Linked DNA regions of Rattus norvegicus. The protein of the gene in region 1 interacts with the protein of each later gene in a pairwise test. Links are inferred from orthologs where the notes say so. Each region holds a gene or a part of one and is shown on either strand. Other genes may lie near its edges.

The links.
Region 2: the proteins of Hnrnpc (region 1) and Kpna4 interact in binary tests that used the Homo sapiens proteins (3 or more experiments, as listed by UniProt). The two-hybrid records come from large-scale screens. The link is inferred for Rattus norvegicus from reciprocal best matches to the Homo sapiens genes HNRNPC and KPNA4.

The regions. Positions count from the first base shown.
Region 1 is NC_086033.1:27,279,725-27,284,521, forward strand, and holds the start of Hnrnpc (heterogeneous nuclear ribonucleoprotein C), read right to left. Parts: upstream 2,992-4,797; 5' UTR 2,838-2,991; intron 2,254-2,837; exon of another isoform or gene 2,217-2,253; intron 1-2,216. UniProt on the Homo sapiens protein: Binds pre-mRNA and nucleates the assembly of 40S hnRNP particles. Interacts with poly-U tracts in the 3'-UTR or 5'-UTR of mRNA and modulates the stability and the level of translation of bound mRNA molecules. Single HNRNPC tetramers bind 230-240 nucleotides.
Region 2 is NC_086020.1:155,687,448-155,692,169, forward strand, and holds the start of Kpna4 (importin subunit alpha-3), read right to left. Parts: upstream 3,305-4,722; 5' UTR 3,302-3,304; coding exon 3,233-3,301; intron 1-3,232. UniProt on the Homo sapiens protein: Functions in nuclear protein import as an adapter protein for nuclear receptor KPNB1. Binds specifically and directly to substrates containing either a simple or bipartite NLS motif.

The DNA of each region.
Region 1 (4,797 bases):
AGGTAGTCAATAGCAAAATAACATTTGTTACTGGCTGCCCTGGAACTAGCTACTTAAGCTAAGCTAGCCTCCAACTCTGCCTGCCCCTGCCTCCCAAGTACTGGGGTGCATACTCCACCAATAAGAGGCAGTAATAATTTAGGAAACAGAGGTGGGGGTGGGGTAGGACAATTTTTTGTGTATTTTGTCAACTACTTTCAGCAATGACTAGGGTTAAATGAGAACTCAAAATTTCCATATAAAGTAGTAGTTTAGCTTGTTTTATATCTCAAAACAAATCCAGAAGTCTAATTTACTGGATACTTACATAGTTTTACACAGCCAAGATTTTTCAATTGTAGTTTCCCTAGTTAGTAACTTCCACTCATCATCTATAAGACTGTAACGAACTATTTAGGAATATATTCCTTACTTGCTTGAACAGCCATGCCCATTTATAACAAGATCACAAGCCAATAAATCTAGAGATCAAATTGCAAACATGTTATAATTACTCTACAGAAAAAATAGTAACCATTACCAACCATTTTGGAAAATGGCTTGACCATGGCAAATGAGAGATCCAAACCTTGCAATTTTAACAGCTTCCTCCCAAGTCAAATCAAAAATGTAATTTGAGTCTGGCCTCAAAACTCCAAGAAATCCACATGTTCTACCAGAACAAGGTGCCTACCAAGCCTGGCCTACATTTATAACACTTAATGGCAAGTATACATCAACTACTACCAGTAACCTTGCATAACTTCTGACATTTATAATACTTTCTCTTACCTAGTTTTCACTGTTCACCAGGCAAAACCCTGTACTCTATCTACTTTTTAAAGGCACATGCCTTTAATCCCATCTCTTACTTAGGCGGAGGCAGGTGGATCAGAGTTCAAGGCCAGCCTAATCAAGACAGTGGGTTCAGAAAAGCCAGGCCTATTGCACAGAGAAACCAAACAAAAAATGTGGGAGGCTGTTTTTTTTTCCTTTGTCTGCATTTGTTCTTCTTTAGACAGTCTTAATACTCCAAGCTGGACCAAGGATGGCCTTGAACTCTTCCTACCTCTATCCCCCAAGTGCTCAAATTACAAGAGTAGGCCATGCACATTCCATGAAGTATGCTTAAGAGTAAAATGTGTGTATAGTTTAAACTAAGATTAGTAGCATATTTTTGTCACTTAATCAAACCCATTGTTTTCTGTATAGCCCTGGCTGTCCTAGAATTACTAGATTTACTCTACATTCAGATCTCCTGCCTTCCTAGTGCTGAGATTAAAAACTGTGCCAGAGTGAAATACCAATTTTATAATAAGTTTATCTAATGAAATAACTCCCAGGTAAGTTAATGTGACACAAAAACCCTTTATTAGTATGGGAGATTGAATCCTGGGCATCTTGAATCCTAAGCACTATCACTAGCTATATTTAAAAGAACTCGGACGGAGGAGATGGCTCAGGGGTTAAGAGCACTGACTGCTCTTCCAGAGGTCCTGAGTTCAATTCCCAGCAACCACATGGTGGCTCACAACCATCAGTAATAAGAGATCTGATGCCCTCTTCTGGTGTGTCTGAAGACAGCAACAGTGTACTTATATAGAATAAATAAATCTAAAAAAAAAAAAAAAAAGAACTCAACACCTACAAGAGAGCAACTACTTTAATTTTTAAACATGTTTTACTATGTAGTCCTGGGCTGCCTTGCAATGGGATCTTGCTCAGGATCTTCCTGTCTCTGAACCTCCAGAATGCAAACATTCCGGGCCTGCACTACCATAACTAGCTGTAAACTGCTTTTTTTCCATTCTAGATGGGTAGGATTAATACTGGAGTATCTGTAAACTATTTCTGTGCCTTTTAATTATTGTTCCCAAGTCCAGATTGAAAATGTCCTGTAAATTTCGGTATCAGGTTCCTCTAAAAAGAAAAACTCATTCCCACCCCACCCCCCTTTTTGAGACAGGGCTTCTCTGTGTAGCCCGAGCTGTCCTGGAACTCTCTCTCTGTGACCAGGCTGGCCCACAACTCAGAGAGATCTGCCTGTCTCTGCCTCCCAAGTGGTGGGAGGCATTTGGCGTGCACTGTCACCACCTACCGGCTAAGTCTCTTCTTGTGTATAGTCTATTCTAGTAACTTGACCTGCCTAGAAATATCTTAGTTTCTCTACTACTGATTTAGTCCGGTCCTGTCAACCACTTTTAAGTCTCACTTCTCTCTAGGACAGCAGTACCTACCTCAAGCAAAGTTCCACTAACTTATGTGATTTGTAACCTGCAGATAAAAAGCTGTAATTATTCCAATTACAATTTACCTTGGGCACTTCCCTTTACAAACCAAAAGCACTCCCGACTTTTACCCATCTATCCCTTGAAGAAAAAAGTAATCACTACTTAATCTATTGTTAAAACGCCGTTCAGATGCCATGTGGCCGGCCTGGAATTTAGAAGCTTCCAGTACTACACCACCATGTTATCGCTCCCCCACCCACGCCCGACATTTAGCTTAGAAGACAATAACGGAGTAAGAGATTCACTACAATTACATTAACAAGCATTTCGTTCTTCGCTTTCTTGCTCCCCTGCTCCCCCTTGGAATCCTAATGGGGGAAGGAAATGAAAGTAGCCGTTAAACACCAGCGCGCAAAGAGGGTATTTTCGTACGCACCGTGGCCTAGAGGTCACTAGGTTGAACCTGCGCCAAGGCCGAGGCCTGTTGCCTCCCGCCTTAGACCCAATCCCCAACGCACAGGAACAAACGCGGCCTCGGTTTCTGCCGCGAGGCCGTTTTCTCGCCTACAACCCCCTCGCGGGGCCCAGCAACCCAGGGCCTCCCCTGCCCTCGCCCTCTCCGCTTACCAAGAGGAAGGAGAGAGAGAGAAGAGCCTGCCTCTCCTACTGCGGGTCTACGCCGAGAAGCCGGAGCTACAACAGCAAGGAACCACACGACCGTTCGCTCTCCGTCTCTTCACAAAATGGCCCCCGAGCTCCTCTGCCGCCGAGGCAAAAGTCCAGCCCCCGCCCCGCTCCCGGAGGCGTTTCTATTGGCTGTGACTTTTCTCGCTCCCGCTCCTAATTAGATAGCGTTACCGCTCCTCACAATTCCGTCCAATCATCACACGAGGTGGGTTGGGCTAATTGGGAGAATTTCCACATGCGTAACAAAAGCTACTTAGTAATTGGTTAAGCTTTCTATCACTTAGTGTCTGACGGATGGTTATTGGTCACTGTACCAGACGGAAAGCTGGGTGGAATTTTCGCCTTTGTATCGCGCACAGCTTCTCATCCGGGTATCCGGCGGACCTGACTGACGGCCGTGTCGTCCTATCAGTGCTTCCTAGAGATCCTAGGTCCGGCCAGATCACCGCATTTCCGCGGCACGGAGGTGGGAAAGCCTGGGTGGAGTCTGGTAGCGGGTGCAAAGGGCCTGCCCTAGCCTCAGGCCTTGGAAAAAAAGGGAAGTGCAAACAAGCTTTAGAGAAGGGAGGATCGTAATCCCTAGGCCGCCTGAAGTGTTAAAAACTAAACAGGTCTGCAGTTATTTTCAAATTCAGATCCCCTCTCATTGCCAGATTCTATAAGCTATTGGAAGGACGTGGCCTTGTCAGTGAACAGCTCCCTCCAAACCAACTGGTTTCCATAGTTCTCTCCTATAAGAGCAATTGCCTAGACCCCTATAAACCCGTTTCCTGGGCCCAAGTCGTCACACAATCTGCAAAACCAATGGCCAGCCGCCTCAGTTTCCCACTTCCTGCAATAGCTTGATACTACTTAACCCCCTCAGCTCGGCCAGTAAAGCTCTGGTTACACTGTAGAAACATTAAACAGGCCAAAAATGTATATAGCCTACTGAGAAAGGGAAAGAGTACCCCAGGAAATTTCCTGATTTAAAAATAAAAAATAATCTTTTAGGTCTTCTTTAGACCTTTAAACCTTTGACATTTTCAAAGGATTTATTTTAAATGTTCCAGTCCAGCGAGTTTATGTGTTCCCAATTTTATTTTATTTTTTTTTTCTTTAAAGAAAGGTTTGGGCTAGGCGGTATTTCTAGTGCAAGGCCAGTCTACTCAAGTTTCAGGACAGCTAGGGCTGTATAGTGAAACTCTCTGTCGAAAAAACAATAAATATAAGTACCTAGGTAGAGGTAGGTAGGTAGACAGACAAATGGGAAGCCCTTCATGGCTAGGCTTGCGGGCCATTGAACCCCAGGTTCCTTCTGTTTTCACTTCCCTGGTGTTAGGAACAAACACGCAATGATCTCCTCTGACAGAGCTCCTAAGCACAGGCAAAGCAGTTCTGTAAAGAAGTTGGCTTTGGTGAGGGAGGTGCACCTGAATCCAAACCAGAGTAGCAAGCAGGAAGTTCGCTTTGGTTTTTTTGCTACTTATTTAGTCAGGGTCAGACTATGCAGCCTGTATGTAGACCAGGCTGGCATCCATCCCACAGTGATCCTCCTACCTCTGCCCTCAGCATGCTGAGATCCGATGATAGTGTAACCACTTCTGGTCTTGACTTTTATTCTGACACAGGTGGTGACTGTGTCTTTCCCGTGGGCAGTGTTTTGACCTTTCAAGACTATGCAGGTTCTAAAAGACTTGGAGAAAATGACATGAAGAAAAAAGAAGAACAGGATGGCTTCGGGCCATCAGTCTCCAGAAATACAAAAAAGGGAACATATGTGTAAATAAATGATTTACCAGGTGAAAGAAATTGAAAGGTTTGCCCAAAAATTTTACAAAGTGAGGGAGATCTATGGAATTTTTGGCTTTTCCAAATGAAAGGTTAACTCCATTCATTCATTCATTCATTCATTCATTTT
Region 2 (4,722 bases), on another chromosome or scaffold:
TGTACAGCAATAGCCCTGCCTTCTCATAAATAATAAATACATAAATAATAAAACTCAACCTAAAAAGCAGTATTTTCTTAGAATCTGTTATATTTCACATATATTATATATGTAACACAATGAGGTAACTACATCATGTTCTCTCTATACATTATATAGATTACATATATAACACAATGCAGAAACTATCTGGAGGGGGAGAAAATGTACATACAGGCTTTGGAAAGATTCAGGCAGGAAAGTAACAATACAACAAACAGACTGTCTAGAAGTAATAAAAGATGTTTCTGTCTCATTACAAGAACTCATCATTTCTAGAAGCTTTTGTTTTCTTTTGTGGTATTGAGGATCAAACCCAAGGCATTGTACATACTATGATTTACAAGTGAACAACACCCACTTATGTGATCTTGAGTAAGTCACAGAAATAATTTTTAGTCACATCATATTTATAGGTAGAAAAATGAAAATATTCTAATTTCTAATGCACATACATGGATCCAGTCATTAGATAGTGGCTACCGACATAATATCAAAATATGTCTAATATGCATTTATACCTAACTTTAAGTCACCTATCATAGTAGCCAGGTAGATTCAGTATTTATTAGTCTGTAGTGGCAAGAAATACATAGTAAGGGTAATATCGTGTGTATGTGTTTGTGTTTGTGTTTGTGTATTTGTCAGGTAGTCACAAAAACTTAAAACAGGGTGGGGTGGCACATGCAATCCCAGAACTTGGGAGGGAGAATCAGGGATAATGCCAATAAAATATAGTATTTAGGAGGATAAGGGAGAAAGATTGAGAGTGTAAGGCTATCCTGGGCTACAGCTACATAATGAGACCTTGTCCAAAAAAAAAAGAACAAGAGGGAGGGGTGGAAAGGGAGAAAGTAAGTCTGGTAACCCTATAAAACGTTAGATGTAAAGTTCCAGTATCATCTAGCATTCTAGGTTTGTAACCAAAAGAAGTAAACATGTTACACAAGAATGTGTATATAAATGCTTATACCAGTAATATATACCTGATAAAAAGGGTTAACCACAGTTCCATAGAGATGAACACATATAAACACAATGTGGTATAACTATAGGCAAGCACATTATTCAGACCTAAGAAACATTCTTGTTACAGTATGGATGAACCTTCAAGTCAGGTAGCCACAACATATCATAAAATGTACATTCTATTTACATGAAGCATTCAGAATAGGCAATCAAAACATTGTTTTGAGCTGGAGTAGCTGAGAAAGAATGACTTATATCAGGGGTTCTTTAAAGAGCAGTAAATATTTGGAGATTTGACTTAGGTGTTGATTGTGCAACTATTTAAACACATTAAAAACGACTTTATGGACTGGAGAGATGGGTCAGCAGTTAAGAGCACTGTGCTCTTCCAAAGGCCCTGAGTTCAATTCCCAGCAACCACATGGTGGCTCACAACCATGTGTAATGGAATCAGATGCCCTCTTCTGGAGTGTCTGAAGACAGTGACAGTGCACTCATACATACAATAAATAAATCTTTAAAAAAAAAACCCAAACACTTTATCTGGGTGAATTGTATAGCATGTAAATCACATTTCAAGGAACCTGTTAGAAATAGGAAGCAAAAGAATTAGATTGGTTGGCTACCTGATATTTTTCTGAAATTTCTAACTTTGCAGTATTTATCAGTTTTATATTTCCTAACTTGTGATTTTCCCATTCTAAATATTTTTATTAGTAAAAATAAATCAGCATTGTTCAACATACAAATTTAATGACAACTATGAATTATACATTTAAAAAGTTGGCTTCTGTTACATATAAATTACTCCAATAAAAATATTAAATTTGGGAGCTGAAGAAATGGTTCAGTGGTTCAGTTCTAAGCACCCACATAGCAGCTCACAATTGGCTGTAACTCCACTTCCAGGGGATGGGCCACTGTCCTCTGGCCTCCTTGGACACCAGGCACACACATGGATGCACACACACACATCCGGACAAAACACCCCTATACATAAAATAAATCCAAAAAAATTATTTTAAAAATTTCTTTCACTATAAAAAATGATCACAAAGCTTCATTAACCGTCAAACGAGCTCTGGGAACACACACCCTGGAACATACAGTTCTAACTACTGCAATAAGCTAAAACAGTGCAAACTACATTAAAAGACTGAATGGCATTGGGAAAAGTAAACAAAAGTTGCCATCTCTAGCCCGCAAATGCTCAAGTTCAGAAACGGACCACAGCAGTCTGAAGATCAGTTACAAGAACACATGGGGATAAGAAGCTAAACTCTAAGCTTAGAACGCCTTGTGTTTTAAAAAATAATTCCCTATGTTTAAAAAAAAAGTCACAATGGAAAGAAACTGTGTGTTTAATACATCGAACCTTGGAAGTAGCTGTGTCTATGACAACGAAGCCTTCTTTTCCCTTTTAAAATAATACGTGATGGTGTCAGTCCACAGCCTACCCGATTCCTCACTGCCATCACCACCAGGAGGTGGAGGGAAAGAATACTGAAGACTAGAGGATGACAGCTTTGAATAACCCTTTGGGCTTTCTATGTAAGAATGCAAACTGGTGATCTCTTCTCCGAGAGGAGTAAAAAGATCTGTGGACAGGCTCAAATAAGGGGTTGGGGATAGGCGATCCTTTGACTGGAAAAGGGCACATCGTGAGCTACATCTTGAATCAGCTAGGACCAGAGTGAAACCCAGGCCGCTGGAAGGCACTGCTAGCATCACCAGGACCCCCGCGAGAGGCGGGGGTGCTTTTTTTTTTTCTTTCCAGCGGAGAAGTTGACTCCTGTAGTTTGGACGTTGGAGTAAAACCAGAGTCGGGGTGATTAGAAAAACCTCCTGAACGTGGAAGCGTCTTAGGCCCTGAGAAGTTACGAGGTCGCCGCTCGCTCCCCCATCGCCCTCCGCCCGCGACGCTTGGCGTCGGGGCCGGAGCAGAGCCGGAGCTTCCGCCGCTGCTGGGCCTCCGCCGCAGCCGATATTCCGGCCGCCCGCACTCGTGTCTGGCCGGCTCGGCAGAACAGGCCTAGGCCGCACCCGGCGGGCCCGGGCGCTGTCGCCGGCGGAGGCGGAGCAGGCCCGGCACAAACTTCCCGGCGCGGCGCCCGCGTCACGGCCGCTCGCCCGCCCGCCCAGCGCCATGCCGGCCGCCGCGCCCGCCCGACTCCGTACGAACCCCGCGTCCCGCCGGGGCCGGAGGCCGCAGACCCCACTGTACCTCCAAGTCGCGGCCTTTGTTCTTAAAATTCTTGAGCCGTTGGTTGTCCAATTTCTCGTTGTCCGCCATGGCCGGGCCGGCGACTCTCCCCCCCCGCCCGGGCCCCGCGGGATCCGCCCCAACCACCGCGCCGCACCGACGCTCCCAGGAAGCCGGCCGCCGCCTGCGCCGCCCGCCCGTCCGCTCCCTTCCTCTCGCCCGGCCTCCCCGGCCTCCGCTCCTTGGCTGCCCTCGCCTGCCCTGAGCCCGGGTACCACAGCAGCTCTGGCGAAGACGACTGCGGGGCCGGCGGCGGCAACGGCGGCGGAATGTGCTGCCGGCTGAGAGGGGGAGGCAGCCTCGATCTGAGGGCCCGGCTTTGCGGCCACGCCCATCGTCGCCAACCCGGTCCGCCTATTGGCCGGCCGGGCTCCGGCGTGCTTGGCCAATCAAAAGGGGCGATGGAGAGCGGGGGCGGAAGAGCGAAAGGAAAGGGGAAGGGAGAGTCTGGGGCAGGAAAGGGCCGGGGCGCAGAGGCTTGGGAGGGGAGGGGCCGCGCGCCAAGGGAGAAACCGGAGGCAGCCAAAGAGAAGCAGACCCGGGAGAGGGTGGTCCTGGGGAGGGTATAGTGGTCCTGGTTATGGTGGTACGATTGTCCGGGTAGCCTTGGGTACTGGGGTTCTGAACTTCGTTCTTTTCTCCTCCGGTGTTACTTGAGCGCTTCATTCACTTTGGAAGGCAAAGAGGTGTGTCTAAGCTCCATTCCGAGTCCTAAACCCTGAGTCCTGTCCAGGGAACTGCGAACCATCCTAGGGCTAGGCATCGGGACTAGGACTGGCTAGGGCGATGTGCATTCAGAAAACTGAAGGGAAAACTAGAGGGACCGGGTAGGAAAAGGAAAGGGGCCTCTGACCAAGTTCCTGCAACAGGTAGAAACTAATTGCCTTTTTGGCCAGTTTCTCTTGGAAAATTAAACTGCTTGATCACAAAGTATTAATTTATAGAGAATGACGACTATGATCCTTGACATAGCAAATGCAACATTGTGACTCTTGATAAAGGAAGTTAATCCCAAAGATACCTCTTAACCAGGAACATTGTAACCAAAGGCGGAAGTAAAACAGATACAAAAAAGCCTCTCAAATTTTTCAGAAGAGCTCCGGACTGGTGACGCGGTTTGTAATCTTAGCTACTGGGCGTGAGGAGGAGCAGTTAAAGAAGTATCCCAAGAGCAAGGCCAGCCAGACCAAGAGTCCAAAGCCACTCTGAGCAGTTTAGTGATACTCCCCCTCTCCTCTCCCGCATTCATGTCAAGATAAAAAATAGAGCTACAACTCATTAGAAGGGGCTAATTATGCTGGAGGCTCGAGGTTCAGAAAAGAGTGAGGAAATGCTTTCAAAATTATATTTAAGCTGAGCATGGTGGTCCATACTTTAAACCTAGCAAAGGCAGGTGAATATGAGTTTGAGGCCAACCTGAGCTACATCATAATACTCTGTCTAAAAACAAA